2 linked regions of the Oreochromis niloticus genome follow. The protein of the gene in region 1 binds, or shares a complex with, the protein of each later gene. Links are inferred from orthologs where the notes say so. Each region holds a gene or a part of one and is shown in the gene's direction. Other genes may lie near its edges.

Region 1 (9,554 bases):
AGGTTTATCGCGGTTTTCCAGGTTACCCAGTCCGGAGTGTGTTCCACTGCATGTTGTGACACACACCTCTTTTAAAGCAATGCTGACTGTCTTCCGTTACAAAGCCTCAGTTAATAAGAGCGTGTATGTGCTGTGTGTTTTGAAATGTGTGTATTTCCTTCTCGTGTTTCTTCCCCTCCTCTTGTTGTCCCACGCAAGGCTCTCACTGAGCTCACTATAGCCTGCCAGCACAACTGACCTGTGGTAAGGGGGAAATCAATAGTCAATTCCATTTTGCAGCCAGCGTGTGACAGGTACTAGATAGGAGTGGATTGGGTGCATGTAAGGAGCAGGAGCGCGAGTTGGAGCTTGTCTGACCCTCTCCTTTCTCTGTCTTTCTCTCCCTTTCCCTCTCTCACACACACAGTGGCTCACAGGCTCACTCAACCAACCCGCAAGGTCGACACAGCAGTGTAGTGCCAGAGGCCACGCTCAATAGTGTAACACAACTCGGGGGTGTATACACACATTAAACAGTGTCAATGCTGAATGTGATTGTGCTCACAAGTGAACTTGTATGACAAGCACCATGAATGTGCAGAGAACATAACTATGATTTTATGGAGACCTATTATGGAAATTCAGTTACTGACAGTTTTTGTTTTTAATTGTTGTCACACATTTTGTGCAAGTAAAGCCATTTACACAAATTGCATTAAACTAAGACAGTGATCACACTATGTGATCCCAAGCATGTTTAATCTCCAACGTTCGTTAGGTTCATTTGACTGGTGTGGTTGCTGTGTACTATGTCTGGTCAAGGTTTAGTGTTCTGCACCCTGGTGCACTTCACACTCGTGAAGTGTGTAGGAAGTCCCGTGCTTCCTCAATGATGGTGCTCTTTGTAAAAATTGCTTTATTAAGTAATTTACACATCTATAAGGCATGTGATAGAGCAGTGTGTCACCGTTTCCAAAACTGCTCCGACTATACCACAAAGTGCAAAATCAGGAACCCGATTGTCATCCATAATATCACGTTTCCAAAGCAAGTTAGAGAGCATGAGAAGTTAGTCTCAGGATTTTTCTAACTACTCTCTTTTGGCTATCAATACCATCATTGTGTTTGATCCCCAAAGAGCAGGGACAATGAAAGGCAGCTATGCCTAGTGTGAGTATGCCTTAAGAATATCTGGGGCCAGATAGCACAATGGGAACACAGGTTTGCTGGGAAATGGTCGGTGACAGTCTTGTTCAGGCATAGACCAAGACAACTGTGCCACCCTAAGTGCGCTCACAGATATAATCAAACTAACAAACTTACAGAGATTTATATTAGGTATAGAATACACATCCACATAAATCCTACCTACCAAATCTGCTTTTAATTGTGTAGCAAAGCAAGCTGAATTCAAGCCATGCTAGCAAAAAACAATCGATAAAACTGTAAACTGTACAGTGATAATGAAAAGTTTAGGAAGCATGTAGAATAAGGTCTTGTCAGGTCTCTTTGGTTTATTTAGTTCAACTTAATCCATCTATTTTCTTTTCATTTGAAATATAACTGTTTTTGTGCTTATTCTAAAATATTGCAAATATGGTAAACATGCCTGCGTAATACTAGGATAGCATTGAATAGCACTGAAATATCAGGAAGCATTATCACTGTGAACATGCAAGTATACTGTCATTAGCATTTCACTTAAGTTGAGTCTCAGAGCAACAACATGGCTGTTATATTTTTTAACACAAAGATATATTTTTTTGAATGTCCATCCTTTTATTATTTGCATTAGTTCTTTCCAGTTCCATTAGTTCTTTCAGCCTCTTCTTCAAAGAATGAAGTGTGTTCTCTTTTCTGGAGGTTATATTTTAATGATTTGAAGCTCTGGTAGAATTATACAAATGGACTGGAGGTAGATCACTTTGAAATATAATTTCGAATAGGCTCTTTAAATAAATAATTAAAAAGAACACATATTATGGACTTTTTATTCCCAGTGTTGTGATTCAGTTCAAAAGCATACAAAAATGTGGGACACAAAATAGGCAGGTGCAAGAGCAACCAAAATGAGCTTTAATAACAGAATCAGGTACAAAGAACGCGCGCGCACACACACACACACACACACACACACACACACACACACACACACACACACACACACACACACACACACACACACACACACACACACACACACACATCTGTCTCTTTCTATCTATATCTCTATATATTGAGAGGGAGAGATGGAAATCACAACACAAACCAATAAGCTGGAAAATAAAAAGCTATGGGGAAAGAAACAGAGGCAGGACAAGACACAGACTTAAAAGAAGTGGTAAGTAGAAGTTAAGGTTGACTAATTAAACACATGTGAAACAAAAAGGGTAGGCAGAAAATCAAAAAGAAAGAAAAATTAAAAGTAGGAAGTAAAACCGAAAGCTAACAGACAAATAAATAACATAATGAATCAATAAACAGCCCCCCACAGACTTCAAACCATCATGCAGACTTTTGTTTTAAAATCTACAAATACTAGTAGTATCATTGAAAATGAAAAACTTTCAGTCAAATATCCATCAAAAATATAAATAGATTTTTTTCCTGTAGTATAGATAGATAGATATATAGATATTTTTTGCTAGTCTCTTAAATATTTTTGACCAGTCCTATGCAAAATAAAAATCAGTATATTGACATATGCAAAGGTAAATGTAAAGACTGTTACCCAAATATTTCCTATTTTTACTTTTAACACAATATATGTCATGGTGGAGCAGCAAATGATAAAAATGAAGAGGAACAAATCCAGTGAGTGGATGATGGCCATTCATTCCTAACAACAAAAACTGGCACCCGATTCTCATCTGTGAAGAGAATCGGGTGCCAGTAGTGGACCTGCCAGTTTTGGTGTTGATCTGCGTCGTACTGGGCTGTGAGTAAAAGCTTAAATAAAGGATGTTGGACCCTGTTGGTCAGACATGTAAACATAGGTGATCCAGTGGAGATCATTTTGCATTGCCAGTGTATGTCCTGTGTCTCCTTGCACAAAGGAGCAGATGTTGTTCCTGGAGCTGGATTGATGGCCTTTTACAGCTCTTTTCCACTCTCCTTTTGTAACTCCATGTGTCCTAGTACCTCAAATACAAGACTGCTCTGAGCTGTGTCTGCTCAGAGACACAGCAAACTTTATTCTAATGGCTTGTATTGATGTGGCATCCTGGAGGAACTACCTCTGAAACCTAAATGGGCTGCAGGTACCAGATCATGCTACCAGTAGTGACAAGACACAACTGGTAATTGGGTAAGAGGGCTTTTTTGGGCAAGACAACAGTCCACCCTCTGTGAGGTACAGGCATAGGTGCAAGCCTGAGGAAAACCACAAAGGCACTGGGGAAACAAAGCTGTGAAAGGAAGCTACTGGATGCAGGAAAATGACATAGACTGAGGGACAGCACACCAGCGAAGGCAGCTGCAGGGGGTGGCTGCAAGATGTCCCCAGTCTGCTACCAGACCCCCACTGGAAGATGAACTGGTTTCGTGGGCAAACATCTATGAGCGGGGATACCAGCGGTGAAACCCTGCAGTTGACCTGATCACAGGTGGAGATGCAACAGGCTAAAGCCGAAGCAGGAAACATCACCTCACCTGGACAATGAACTTATTTACATAAAACATCTGCAAAACTACACAAGCACACTTGTATGTTGAAGCGACAGAAGATTTATAAAAAATCTAATTATTTTACAGTATTTTTCTAGAGTTCCAGCTCCAAGAATGACTGTTTTTTTGAAGTTTGTTGTTTCAATGTACAGTAAAAATGTCTCAATATTTTATTTTACTTTTATTTTTGTTTTCTTGCATGTACTTCTCATTTGAAATCCCCTTGCAACATTTTCTGGGGTTCCAGACCTGTGCTTACACCAAGCCTTTCAAAAGCCCTCAGTTTCTTCTTTCAGAGGTTCACTTCCCATTCAACGTTAATTTTGGCCATATTGCCTCACTCTATTGTAAGTCAGTTATTGATCAAATGCAGAATTCATTACTGAGTATGTGAGCGTGAGCTTCCTCGTCTTTAAGTCAGCGAAGCAGTCCACCATGATGTTGTCTGTTCGTTCACTGGCAAATGATAGTTTTGGTGTGCCATCAGTAAATAGGGTTCTGTTGAGTTTAATGAAACAAAACTGTAATAATTTTGGCAACAAAAATCTTAATCAGTGCAATCAGTATTTTACATAACTGGTGGTAAAGAATGCTGCATTCGACTTATCAGGCTGAGTGCAGTAGTGGAATGTCACTCTTGTAACAGAGGGCAATATTCAGTATTTCAGTATACACGATTAGCAGAATTACAGCAGTTGTGACTGCAGTTCACTATAGTATTTCACTGTATAGAAGCAGACAGATATGAGATGATGTTTACAGCAGTGTCTAATTTAGGTTAGTCGCATTTCTAAGGTGAATGAGAATCTAAGGAGGAGACAGCATTCTGTTAAGCATAGGACAAAAACCGTAATCAAACCTAGCAAAGCTTCATCAGTTCAACTTGGCTTCGGGGCCCTCAGCTAATTTTACCGCTCACTGAAACATAGCGTGTAATACCCAGTGGATGGCAAACGCTTCGTTCATTATTGCTGATTAGGGGGAAAAAAGATCAAGCAAAATATGTCAACTCATGATAACCAGTTAATGTGTTTTTAATTAATGCCTGCTTTTCTTTTCTCCAGGTTGACTCCTACCCTAAAACCTACCAGTGCGTGGATTTAATTCCTCCTCCAGCGGCTTCTTGATTAACAGTTAGCTTCCATTATGCTTTTGAGGGCACGAGAGTGACCGTGCAGGGATGCAGCTGTTAGATTAAAAGTGGAGTGGGTGAGCTTGCTGGGTCTCCTTGCATGCAGTGAAATGAGACCTAAGCCACCGATTCATTTTAGAATTTAATAAGCTAATAATCGTGATATGGCAACTAGTTTCAAGTGCCCTTGGGGGGGTCAAGGCACAGTTTACAATCCCATTTAAGAGCTTGTTCTATTACCATGCTGACAAAGTCTTAGACAGGCTCAGAGAGGGAGATGAGTGCATTTTGAAGCTACTTCAAAGGTCACACAAAACACAGAGGGGTCAGCCTGAACCAGAATGATCACATTCTTCTTGCGAGAAGACTCCCTGGAGTCCAACTGAAGGACATTTGACAGCTGCTGTATTAGCATCTTCTGGGAAAGTACTGAAAATTCAATTCAGTTGACATTTAACAGCTATAATTTGAGCTATAATGATTGTTCTAATTACTCCATTTAGAAAAACAATGCATATTATTGTGACAAATTAAACAGCCAACACCACCTGTGAAAAAAAAAAATTTGCTGAGCTTTTAAAAATTTGAATTTGAGCAATGTGAACTCCCCACTCTTCCTTCCCATAACTGGGCCCCATCAGTCACATGTTTCTTCTTGGAAAATAGCAGTTTCACAAATGCAAAACAAGGATGTTGCTGCCTGTGCTGCTTCTTGGCACACACACACACACACACACACACGTCCTCAAATCCGAGCTACTTTGAGCCACGCTGTTTCATCTGGTGCTATCAGGGCTGATAAGAGCCTCTTGTCTTTCTGGGTCTGCTGCAGCTGCTGTGTGGTGAGTGGCAAGCCTCTCTGATGACTCTCCTTTATCTTCACATCAAGCAATTTGCTGCTTCTTTCATTTTGATACTTGTGCCAGATTGAAGAGGAAAACTTTGCTAAACTTGTTTCTGAATGAGGTTAAAGCTAGGTAGTTGCATCCTCATCTACATGTAAGTTATGGACCACTCAACTTATTTAAAAAAAATCATCTTTAATCCATGTTTAATCTGATTTTCTGGTCCCTCTGTATTGTAGATGTGACATTTATCATCCTTTGTAGTTTAATACCTAATACACACACACACACTACACACTCTTAATACATTTAGGATTAAATAAGCAATACTAAGATAAGACGGTGCTTTATAGTACTTGAAGGGTATCGTTTGAAAAATTTAAAAATAAGTTATTAGATCGTTGCACAAAGGGCTTTTTACCTAAACCTTTATTAAATTTAGTACAATACAGCAATGTCGCCCAAGTCATGATTGTCTTAAGAGCTTGAAAAAGAAGGCGACTGGACTTCTTTATGATTTTTGAAGTTGTTTCACCCCTCACAACTGAAAAAATGTCTTCGATTAGAGGTGAAATGTCTTTAAAAACCTTAAAGAAATCCAGCCGCCTTCCTTTTCAAGCTCTAAAGACTACACTATGGCAATATTTTTAACATGTTTTATGACTGCAGTTTTCTTCTAATCACGGGGGCAACAGTATTTTAGTGTATGGAAAACATGTTCTGACAATTTAAAAATCGGAAGCGAAAAAGATTCAATCGGTGTGGGATTTTAGATACTGCCTACATAAAAGGTCAGCATGTCTTAACATCCATGATAGGAAAAAACGAATCAATTCTTTAACTCCTTTTAAATCTCTTTTCAAAACACACTGTATAGTGTGAGAAATAAAACCAAAAAGGGGAAATAGCGGTGAGTCTGTCATTACACTTTGCAATGTGTGAGGGATATTGCCAAATCCTTAAAGTGGGCGTTCTGTAACCCTCAACAGCAACAGGAAAGGAAATCTACAGAAGTTGTAGCAAAATATTTCTTTTAACATGGAGACATGACTCACCGAGACCCGAAAATAAATTCTGCATAATGTATTCTCATCTATATGTTCTGAACATAATTGGCCGAAACACAAAGAATAGCCAGACTTCATTTATTCTGCCTTTATTTTAAGTATGTCATATTGTGTTATTGACAAAATACACTCCAAGTCTAATACGCTTTTCTGCTCTCCACCTCGTCTCTCTCGCTCACTCTCTCTGTCTTTCCTTCAATTGCCTTTTGTCAGAGCCACAGGCAATTACCTATTAGTAGTAAGCAGAAATTCTAAAAAGGAGAGCGGGGGGAAATGGGGGCCTTTTTGCACAGTGCTGATAAGAAACGGGGAGAAAATTCCATTTCTCTCTCATTGCAAAACGCAGTCTTCACCAAATAGTTATTTTGGACTGAGGGCAGCGATCTAACAGTTTGAGTGATAGTTACAAATTATACAAATTTTAGGTTATACTTCCTCATCTTATGGAGGTGTTACAATGCCACTACGAACATAACATTTCTGGTCAACGGTTGAATGTTATTCTAGACCAGAAATGCTTATAGGCAAAATCTAATACGTCATTTGTGTCTTTAGCCTACAGAACAAATTGAACTGGACTCTGAACAGTCGCCTGATGTTGTGCGCATGCTACATGTTAACCTGAGGAACTGTGAGTTTCTCAGCTTATTCTCAGAAACAGGCAGGTTGAGTGTTACAAGACCACAGGAAGTTTCTCAATGCTGTACCACTTACTGGTTCTGGGTAGATGTCTGTATGTTGGTGAGTCATGCACACACACACATTCAGTACTGTGCAAATGTCTTATTTCTTTCCCCATCACATATTTTTTTTTAGATTTTTCTTGGAAAATGGCTGCAGTGATTTATCGAAACATGCATGTATAAATTGAAAAACAGTATACAGGGTAAAACCAGTTCTAACAAGTGCAGTCAAAGAGTGCAACTCTCATGAAGGGCAAAGGCTATATGAAAACTTTTTATTACAAGATGCGCCCTGCTTTCATATCAACACACTGATGTTTGACTTTTGACCTATGACCTTTTAGCATTACATACTAAAATGGTGTGTTTTATTATCTTTACCTGTATGATTGGAGTAGAACTGGCTGAAATCTTTGGCTACTATAAACTGTAAAGGAGGAGGACAACAGGACAATTTGGTAAAATTGTTACCAAAATAATGAATATTGCACAAATTATTTCCTCTGTATTTTTTGTATTTTAGTTTTCAAATTCACAAAATCATTTGAGTTATTTTCCCTTTTTTAAAGTCTACTTTTCATTTTATTTCAGTTAACAAAAATAAGCTTCATGACCATTTTTCTTCTTCAAAACAGCCTGACCTCATGTAGGCATGCTTTCTTGTAATTTAAGTAGTCTTCAGGAATAGGTCTCCAGGCATCTTGAGGGAAATTAAAAACTCTTCTTCAAATCTTGTCTGCCTGTTGTTTCATCCTCTGCAAGGATGATCCAACACTGCGTCAGTAATATTGAGGCTCAGGTTCTGGGGAGGTCAGTCCATGACTGATAGTATTCCACTGTGTGTTTTTTCTATACAGCCATGCTTTTACTGCATTGGCAGTGTGTCTGTCATCACTGTCATGCTAAAAAATGAAAACACTGCCATTCAGATGCTTTCCAGATGGTATTACATGGTGGAACAAACTTTGACAGTACTATTCTGTGTTCATAGTTCCATCAGTTTTGACAAGATTCACAACCTCTCTGGTGGAAAACAGCCCCAAACCATGACAGAACCTCCAGTGTGTTTTACAGATGACTGTAGATGACTGCTGTACCTCTCTCCTGACCACCTCTGTACATACTGACAATGATTTAAGCCAAAAATTTCACATGTGAATGCCACACTATTTTCAGATAAGTTTGTGTGTTATTTGGCTTAAACAACTGTAGATGAATCCACAGAACTAAAAACTGGTTAAAAAGCAGCCAATGTCCAGAGAATAAACCGGAGCACTGTTGTTCTAGACCACTTTAAAAATTATTAGAAAGTATGGCTTCAGTGAAGCAAAACTAAAAGAAATGAGGGGTGATTCAAGATTTTTGCACAGTACTGCACGTCAGTCTGAAATGTAGTTCTGATGAAGACATAAGGGAATTAACAATAAATAATTTGGCATAATTTTAGAGAATTCCCAAGAGGTTTCCTTACTACTGAGTTGCTTGAAGTCTTTAATGAATTTAAAACTCTACTCTCACATTTTTATGATTCTGCTCCCTCGTAATGCTGTTTATCAGTTGCAAACTTTCGTTACCATCTGGTATTTTATTTTATAATATAAAATGACACCTGTCCAAAATTGAAATGTCCAGAAATAAATATTTAAATTTTACTCAACATTTTTAACAATTCTTTCATGCACTGAACACAATATTTTGATCTTCTAGTAACAAAATCACTATTGTCATGTGAAATATTGTTTTGAACGTTTTTTATTGTACATACACTGGCTTTAATGCATTAAATTCTGCAAAACGTGATCGTCTGAATAATTTGCACAAATTTTAAAACTACATGTCTATATGTCAGAATTTAACGGTGTTCATTATACAATTAAATGTCCTTTTAATACCACTAAAAAACTCAATTCCATTGTTTTCTGTTACTTTGGTAATCAGTTAGTAATTGCTTTAGTACTCTAAACTATTTGTCTTTTCTTCCACACAGTACCTTACAGTTGCAGAGATACTGATGTAGGCTGTGACGGCATGTCCGGGAAGTGCTTTGTAAACCAGAACAAAGATTTCTGTGAATTTTAAACTTCTGTGTAATGGTAAGTTCCCTAACTGATTCTCGAACTAAAGTGCAAAGTTGACTTTATATAAAAAGCGCAGTATGTTTGAGAAATGCTGCCATAACTTT
Region 2 (9,289 bases), on another chromosome or scaffold:
TTTTCAGTGGCAAAGGAAGTTTACATTGTTTGTAAATTATTATTAATAGTGCTGAAGAGTATAACCAAATGCAGAACACATGACTGGACAAACTAAAAGCGAGCCTTTATTAGGATGAATTAGGGAAGAACACAGGAAATGGCAATTAACGGCAGGTCAACCAATCATAGAGGAGAAGGCTGTCACAATGGAGGGAAAAGGCAGGAAGTAAAACTAAAACTAGGGACGAAATAACAACTACCCTTCAAAGTAAAAAAGGAAATACCCAAAGGATACTAATACAGACATGAATACAAAGACTAACAAGGCATGTATGAGATAAGTGGACACAAAGGGACCAAGTTCAAAACAGAGGTAGGCACTGACAGAAACACTGGGAGAGTGATTACTATAAATACTACTGCACCGTCAAATCATAGTTCATGGAAGATCTACAGTAGTTCAGCTTAGTTGTTTTTTATTTATAAAACTGTTTCTTTGAAAAGTAAATTAGAGTTTATATTTATAATAACTATAATATAATAACATCACTAATTGTAATTGAATTGCTAATGTGCAGTTGCATTTACAACAAATTAATCAGTGGATTATGTCATATTATGATTCATAATTATGAAACATAACAGTGAGGCCTCATCACTGGCTTGTACTCGATCAGTTACATATACTCTCACTGAACTGAACTATTGTGTAGATTAGCAAAGTGGCTCCTGCCTCTGATACCTGATCTTGTTAATGTGACTTTGAGTTAATTTGCTTTTCAGGAAAAGAAAAATTAAGATTACTCTTATTTTTTTTTACCTAAGCTTACTCGTCAATTTGTTGAGCTTATTGAGGAAATGCTAAATGCACTGGTTATACTGTGTAGCGTTTTTCCACTCTGAGCACTCAAAGTGCTTTATACAACTAATTCACACTAATTCACACTAATTCTTACAAGCACTTTTTTCTATGCCTTTTCTATGTAAGTGCTTTCTATCTAACATTCATATAAATTCATACTCTGATGGATGCATCGGTTAGTTTCTTGCCCAGGGATATTTAGCCTGCAGACTGGAGCAGCCAGGCATCAAACCAGCAACCTTCTGATTTGCAGATGACCCCCTCTCCCAGTACCAGCGCCTTGGATTATATGTTCTTTATTTCAATTTTAGCCTATATAAACTAGCTTATGAAAACCTTTTGTAGATTGGACCAACCAAAACCAAATGGAAAAACTGGGTTTACCTGTGTCGATGTCATGAACTTGGTCCTAGTGATGAAGTTCACACAGGTTTTGGTTACAACTGTCGAAAATAAATAGTTGTTTATCATCCCGTTGTTTATCAGCTCGAGATGATTTAAATGAGGTGTAATCAGGTCCTTCGGGAGGAGTTGGGCTCTCTGAATGCTCTTGTTTGACATGTGAATGCAAATTATGATGTAACACATTTCATTCTCTTTTTTGCCCAACAAACCATAATGAAAAGCTAAAGATTCATTTGCAGGCTGGAGTGTAACAAGCAAATGACTTGTGGTCTATGCAATAACAGGAAGTCATAGACCAAATCCTCGTAGTTAGTGTGTACAGACAGCTACACATTTTGTCATGACGAAGTCAGATTTTTTTTAAGGAATTACAAGTTATAGCATCGTCACCATGTCTGTGAAGTGACTGACACTAAAATCACTTCCCCAACATCATTTTTTCCTCTCCGGACATCTTTTTTTCTGAGGAACCTACCTCGTTAGTTTGAACGCATATCTACTCAGACGGGCTGACATTCAACGTAAAACGAATGATGCAAACCATCTTTCTCAACCGGTCACCGCTTTTGTAAGAGGTTACCGGTATCAACCGATTAAACACAACTGTCTTTATAGAAAATCAGTGCAAAGGCCTTAGCTTTAGTGTTAAAACAAATACAGAAACAGATGAGGATTTTCAGCACAGCGGCGAATGATTCTGTTTTAAGGGATCATGACATCTAGAAGAACCAAAAATAAGACTTACATATTAAGAAAAACTTTTTCTTCCTTTAATTCCTTTAACTATTTGTACATTTTATGGTAATCAAACCCTTCAGTCATTTTCTGGAGGGGTTTCAAGGCATTTAAGGTAGAACTATCTGTTTCATGTCTCACATGCCAATTAAAATTCCATCTTAACCTCCACAGTATGTCCAGATTCATCTGTGGATCCAGCGTTTAAATTAAGAGCTCAGCATTTGTCAACATAATTCAAAGTTCAACAAACCGCAAGGCTTTCAGTCACAACTGACATATTATACAAAGTGTAATCAACTCATGCATCAGGTATCGTTCCTCTTCCACTACGCAGGGCACGACTGTTCAACCCTTCTCTGCTTAGCCCAGTGCAGGGCCAGCACATTGTTCCTCTGTTACAACCAAATCATGTTTCCAACAAGGTCACCGCTGGGCCGTAGAGAGAGATTACAGCAGTGAATGAATGCCTCCTTTCACGGAGAGGAATGATTGGAGATCAGAGCAGTGTAGATTTCAGGGATCAGATTTGACAGCTTTATTTCACAACCCATCAAGCATGGCCACATATCAGAGCTACACCGACTGATCAAGTGCCTCATGTTAGAGCAAGAAGAGAACCGATCCTATCGACGGCTACAGAGGAGACACAGGACTGACCTGCGAGGTGATTACACTCTGACTATGATGTTTAGACATGTTTTCAAGTCAAACCTGATAACCAAGGCAATGAAACTGAAATTAAAATTATGACTTTAAACATGACTTAACATAAAACATTGTGATAGAGCTGAAATGTACATGAGGGAACTGTATCTCACACATGCCTTGCTACATCAAATCATAATGATTCATGAGTTATAGTAATGTTCGCGCCTTATTTATGGTCAGGTCTGCAGATCATGCAATAGACTAAAAACCAACCCAGTAATGACAGAATTCCTAATGCTGTAGTCATGATTAATTCAGAATAACTTCATCATCATGCCATGATGACTTCAGAGGAAGTGGTGACCAGATCCATCTTTAGCACTCATAAATAAAGGATAAACAATAGATGTCCATGTCCACAGACTGTATGTATTTACGGAACAGGTTGGCAATAAAACTAACATACAAAAAAACCCCCTAAAATAATACATGATACAATTAACACTCACATAAAAGCCTTCTACCACCTGAAGAACATTTCCAGACACCCATCAGACTACGCAGATGAAACCCTCAGTCCTTCCTGGCTAGACTCCTGCACTGGTGTGCTGTTAGGTCTGCTCAACAAGGCCCTGGAAAGACTGTAGTGTGTTCAGAACTCAGCTGACAGACTTCTTACTCTCAGTCCTGGCAGCCTCTGAAACCCACCCATATACGCCTCCACTGGCTCCCAGTCAAGTCCAGCGTCTCCTATAAAATCCTTCTCTTTACCTGGAACTCCCTACATGCTACATGACCCCCAGGACTTACTGGACCTTCTCCTCCTCCAGTTCAATTTAATTCAATTCAATTCAATTTTATTTATATAGCGCCAAATCACAACAACAATCGCCTCAAAGCACTTTATATTGTACAGTAGATCTTACAATAATAGATACAGAGAAAACCCCAACAATCATATGACCCCCTATGAGCAAGCACTTTGGCGACAGTGGGAAGGAAAAACTCCCTTTTAACAGGAAGAAACCTCCGGCAGAACCAGGCTCACGGAGGGGCGGGGCCATCTGCCGCGACCAGCTGAGGTGAGAGAAGGAAAACAGGATAAAGACATGCTGTGGAAGAGAGCCAGAGATTAATAGCAGGTAGGATTCAATGCAGAGAGGTCTATTAACACATAGTGAGTGAGAAAGGTGACTGGAAAGGAAAAAATCAATGCATCATGGGAATCCCCGGCAGCCTACTCTATTGCAGCATAACTGAGGGAGGATTACTCCTCCCTCAGTTATGCTGCAATAGGGTCACCTGGTCCAGTTCTAACTATATGCTTTAGCAAAAAGGAAAGTTTTAAGGCTAATCTTAAAAGTAGACCCCATCTTGTAAATATTACTATTTAGGGACATAGTGTACAGTTGAAATAGCTTGTAAAAAAAAATATAATAATAATAAAGAAGAACAAACAAAGAGACACAGTATATATGATTATTATAATTAGATAGATCACACACTCGCTGGAATTAAGTGCATTAAATTCCATAACTGTTGACTTTAATGTGGAGAACCTATTGAATCGTAATTTTTTTTTAATATATTACTGAAGCATGGCAAGTGTTCAAAGACGAGCCCACCAGGGGGGACTGTTGTATCCGTTGTAAGTCTTTTCACTTCTTCTCTGTAGACGACACAAAATCCGGTGATGTCACTAACCCGAAATCAGTGGGCAGCTGTATGAATGACAAGAGGAAAAACTTTGATCGTCCTTAATACCGCAACAGGAACCACAATAAATAAATAAATAAATAAATAAATAAATAAATAAAAAAAATCTAAACACAACGTTTACAGTGTGGGGGTGCAGCTTGGTGTAGATAATCGAGATTGAGGTGACTTGATCTCTTGACAGATTAGGCAGTTACTTTTCGGCTGCTCCCTTATTGACAGGGGGCCGCCACAGACGGGAGCTGTTTGATCTTGGGATGAGATGTCACATGTTTCAGTCTATTAATAGATTTTTTCTAAAAAAAGGCACGTCGTCAGGTGACTCAATGGCTCAACAGGCAAATGACGATGGACAACATTAGAAAACAAAAGAATCCAGTGTTTCAAAAGGCAATAATTCACTGAATACTTTTTCATTTCCGTTCCGTTTCCTTCTCTCCTTCCTTTATATTTTACTAGTTTTGCACAATCTGTAGGACGACAGTAACTAGGAAATCTCACTTCCTAAAACGTAATTCTGGAATTGTATTACTTAACTATCAAATTTCCTTCTTCTTTCTTTCTTTTAAAAAATATTTTGTTACAATAAATAAATAAATGAATGAATAAATAAAAATCAGGTCCATCCATTTAACAAGTTTCATTACGACTTTTTAAATTTACCTTTTAATTATTATTGTTTTTTTTTAGATTTATTTGATTTTGTGTCCTTTTTTCAATTTAGTTATTTTATATCTGAATGTGACTCAAAATGTTTTCATATTTTTTAAAACAAGAGTTTTATTTATTTATTTTTTGTTTTATTTTGCTCCTATTTCTCCCCAAATTTATTAGTAGTAGTATTGTTAATAATAATAATAATGTTATTATTATTATTATTATTAGTAGTAGTAGTAAATTTCAGGTCCATCAATTTAACCTGTTTCATTACTTTTATTGAATGAGGGTTTTTTTTGTTTTGTTTTGTTTTTTCATTTTTAATGCTAAAAAAACAAGCCATACTTTTAATGTGAGCTTGATTAAATTTCTACTCATTTATTGGGGCCAATAATTTGTATTTGAAGTTTTTTTTTTTTTTTTTTTTAAAGTGCAAACGTGTATATTTTTAATCGAAACACCATCAGATGAGTAATTGGGGGAATTTCCTCCACACAGTCCAGCTTGACATATATAAGCCTGCCATAAATTGATGGTGTTCACTAGAGGTCAATACCTTAAAGGCATTCCCTAGCAGAGGCCATGCACATTCTGATTGGTGAGTAGTGAGGCAATCCTTACAAATTACTGATTTCTCCTCTCTGCTGATCGTCCCCAGAGAGCGAAAGCACTCTGTAGAGTGTAGGAAGCTACAAGAAAATTCAAAGGATCAGCCTTTGGACTAGCAGACATCTCTGACTGATAGAAAGGCAGGTTTGTTTTAGAAGCACCAGATGTTTTGATTCATTAATAGGGCTTTTATTCTGTGTTAACATCTGGTGCTTTTTAAAACATCTGCTTTTCTTTTCCACCATGCTGATCTACTGCAGTTACTTTTGGCTCAGGCTTCACATTACACGGGCTGTTCTCAACTGCTGCACATATTTAGCCCCAAGGGGGGACATGCCCAAATCTGCAGCAGAGAGGACCGGTTGAGAGGAGGCTTTGTTCTGCCTTTTGTTCTCCTCTGCCTCCACACAGCATACTGGATGAATAACGGGGGTTGTTTCAATGCTACGCCGCTGATGCCTTGAGATTCTTGTTTTTTTTAATTTTTGTTTTGTTTGCTTCTCTTTTTTTGCAGTTTTCGCCATTTCTTGCTACATGGCCACGTTCGCCTTCAGCGCACCTCTGCCGGAAAGAAGCGCACTTGTTGAAGATCCGGAATTTCAAGAGATTGTACAGAAATGCAAGCTGTTAACAGAGAAGATCCTTCTCTCTATCCCCGAAACACACAAATCCTGCATTAAGACGGAGGTGAGACACACTAATGCAGTTTTGCCTGGTTTCTTTAAAGCTTCTGCGTCATGACTTGTGTTTGATAATGTGCTGTCAGCGTAAGGAGCCTGCACGATCGAGCCTGTCAGCGGCGTTTGTATCTGAAATGCGCTTATGTAGCTGTTATGACTGATATGAACAGTCTCTGGAAAAGAAGCAGCACATGTCTGTCAATCGCCTTTTTTGTTTTAGATGACAGGCAACTGAGTTATCAACATCTGGCATGTTTTTTGTTTTTTTTTACACAGCTGGATTTTACTTGAGTATTTCTGAAACCACAAATAAAAGTCTCCTAATGACTCAGCATCTTGTAAGAACGCAGGACAAGTATTTCTGGTCTAGTTTTTAGGATGTGACATTTTAGTGCTTTAACTTAACGATCTGACTGCTGCCTTCACTGCCCCCCCCAAAAATCCCAACTCGTGTTTGCTTTGGAATTCCTCGCTGCTATACATCCTTAACAATTTGATGTTATTTCTTTTATCGTAGACTGTGCAGCTCAACTCCACAGATAATACGCGGTTTGAGATCATGAGGTCCGGGATTGGCATCCCCTCTGCTCCTCATATCAAAGCCCCGTCAGAAAACGTCACTTTGGTAAGCATTCTTTGAGAGTGAACTGTCATCATGCTTTGAGAGTCTATAAGCAGACATGATGACCAGTTTTTTTTTCTCTCCCTTCCATAAGGAGGACAGTTTGAGACAGCTCTATGAGGGTCTGCAGCTGTACCGGGCCTTGCTGGGCTCCCTCGGAAACTACCATAGGCTGGCAAACAAAGATAAAGTCACCGGGCTAATGGCTGATGTAAAAGACCTCGCCATTCAGATCAAAGAGGTAGGAGAATGTTTCTAAATTACAGCCAGTCTGACAAATAGTTTTTGCATGTTGCATCTTCTCAATGCTTAAAATCATTTTCCTTGTTTTGCTTTTTTAGATGCTAAAAATTGTCCGGCCACAAGGTTCACCCCACCCCACCAAACCCTCCGTGTCCTTAAATCTACCAGCAGAATACGAATTTCAGGTGGCAGCACACCTGACTCTGGTGGATCTCCAGTCCTACATTCAGGACCTGGTCCGCTTCCTCAGGACTCTGGACCGCAGCACAGAGGTGGACACAGAGTCCTAACCAAAAAGTGTCATACTTTGCTTTTGCCCAAAATGTACGTTATGGTATTTATTGATCTGTGAAAGCATTATTTATTTTTGTATTTGCATTTCATATTTATATATTTATTAACAGAACTGGACTGGACTATTTATTTCCACCGTTTAAAACTAAGGAAATGTTAACACAAGTGACTAATGCTCTGTAAAGCAGTACATTAACGTATTGCTAACAGCAGAATATTTTTGTATAATTTTTATTTAATTTATAACAATAATAATAATAATAATAATAATAATAATAATAATGACAATAATAATAATAATGATAATGTCTGTATTTTCTTATTTTTTAATTAAAAAACCATTTTTTTCTGAAAAACATTTGTACCTCTTTGTGAACTAACATGCATAATTATAGAAAACAATAAAATGAAACCCAAACTTCCAGTGAAGTTACTACTGTAATAGAGAAGTGCAACAAAGAGTGAAATAAGGACTTTGCTGTCATTATTTCCGCTACTGAACCAGACGGATGTCCTTTAAGAAGTGTTGCAAGCGGTGTATGACTGTGACAAGAGATGACCCACAGTGCCTTGTGTATGGTGTCATGTGTTGGGCTGGCTAGCATGTGATCATTCTGAGTCAAGGGACAACAACGACAGCGGCCACACGTCATGTTACCGAAACTCAAAAAACACAGAGGTGCCATAACACCATGACGTGTTACAAAAACTCACAAAACAAATGCAACCAATAAACACAGGCAAGCACAAAAAAAAAAAAGATTTTCTGTCTGATTTCTTTATTTATTCCAAAATTATTTACAAGTGTGAAAACAAAAAATATAAAAGAATATCAAAACAATGTGAGTCCAGAGCTCTTGCAGACTGTTTTCAGCCCTCTGCTGCGCTTTTGTTGCCCACCAACAGAAGATAAATCCGGCAATGCCTCGATTTATTTCGGAGGTAAATTTAACGCCGAGCCTCACAGAGCAGAGATGGCTTTGGCAGCTACACGTCTCCCCAGCGGCAGAGTCAGGTCAGTGATAGCGAGCACAACTTTAGGTTTGGCCAGAGCGGGCAGCTTCACCAACTCGGAAACCTAAATGTGCAAAAAAAGAAAAAAAAAAAAAGAATTAACTGTTATTCTGAGAGGCGGCATTTCCCAAGAAACACTAAGAATTTTAATGTGTTGCTCAAGGATAATTGTCATTCCTTTTTGAGTGGGTGTGTTTCTGACCCTTGATCTGGTTTTTATGGGACACTCATGATAAAATGTAAGTAGAACAAAAGAAAAGAATTAAGAAATACTTTTTCTCAGAACTAGAAAAAGATGTTCCACTAAATCAGCGAAGTTTTCTCCGTTACTCATTTTTTTCTCCTTTCTGTTATCAGTTCTGGTTTGTTCTTGGCATTTTACTCCATTTCAAACTCTGCACATGTTTTGAAAATGTGGCAACCCTAACATTTCGAAGCTTGTAGGAGTGATTAATATCTCTTGCAAATGCAAGAGGCATCTGTGCTATGACCTTCAGATTCCCTCTTGATCTTATCAGAACACTCAGTCTTTAAAGGCAGTAGAACACTTGTAAGCAGGATTCCTGAACCCTTCCCGATAATATCTAAAGAAGCAGTCATCCCTCTCCCTCCTTTATCTCCACCTGTCTGGCCTCTCCCCTCACAGCTCATAACTCACCATTGTAAAAGGCATGAACTGCAGGATGCTCCCACGGCTTCCCTGCTCCAGACACTCAACACACTCCTCCATGAAGCTCTGCACAAACTGGGTGTGAGGTCCAGCCATCTTTGAGCCAAGGATGGAGGAAATGAGGAGAAAAAGGTTGGCTAAAAGGAAGAG

Evidence for each region.
Region 2: the proteins of csf3r (region 1) and csf3a are in contact, whole or in part, in a crystal structure (PDB 2D9Q), measured with the Homo sapiens proteins. The link is inferred for Oreochromis niloticus from reciprocal best matches to the Homo sapiens genes CSF3R and CSF3. Residues at the interface, in NP_000751.1 of Homo sapiens: Arg164, Arg190, Lys191, Leu193, Leu194, Leu195, Tyr196, Gln197, Asp220, Met222, His261, Ile262, Asn263, Arg311, Pro313, Leu314; in NP_000750.1 of Homo sapiens: Ser42, Leu45, Lys46, Glu49, Gln50, Arg52, Lys53, Leu141, Asp142, Asp145, Thr148, Thr149, Gln152.

The regions. Positions count from the first base shown.
Region 1 is NC_031976.2:26,817,816-26,827,369, forward strand, and holds the start of csf3r (granulocyte colony-stimulating factor receptor), read left to right. Parts: upstream 1-5,461; 5' UTR 5,462-5,619; intron 5,620-7,244; exon of another isoform or gene 7,245-7,430; intron 7,431-9,359; 5' UTR 9,360-9,465; intron 9,466-9,554. UniProt on the Homo sapiens protein: Receptor for granulocyte colony-stimulating factor (CSF3), essential for granulocytic maturation. Plays a crucial role in the proliferation, differentiation and survival of cells along the neutrophilic lineage.
Region 2 is NC_031973.2:19,710,751-19,720,039, reverse strand, and holds csf3a (colony stimulating factor 3 (granulocyte) a), read left to right. Parts: upstream 1-5,556; 5' UTR 5,557-5,589; coding exon 5,590-5,605; intron 5,606-5,660; exon of another isoform or gene 5,661-5,756; intron 5,757-6,130; coding exon 6,131-6,303; intron 6,304-6,813; coding exon 6,814-6,921; intron 6,922-7,012; coding exon 7,013-7,159; intron 7,160-7,259; coding exon 7,260-7,451; 3' UTR 7,452-8,088; downstream 8,089-9,289. Other genes in the region: med24 (mediator of RNA polymerase II transcription subunit 24), read right to left, coding at 8,417-8,533, 9,128-9,276. UniProt on the Homo sapiens protein: Granulocyte/macrophage colony-stimulating factors are cytokines that act in hematopoiesis by controlling the production, differentiation, and function of 2 related white cell populations of the blood, the granulocytes and the monocytes-macrophages.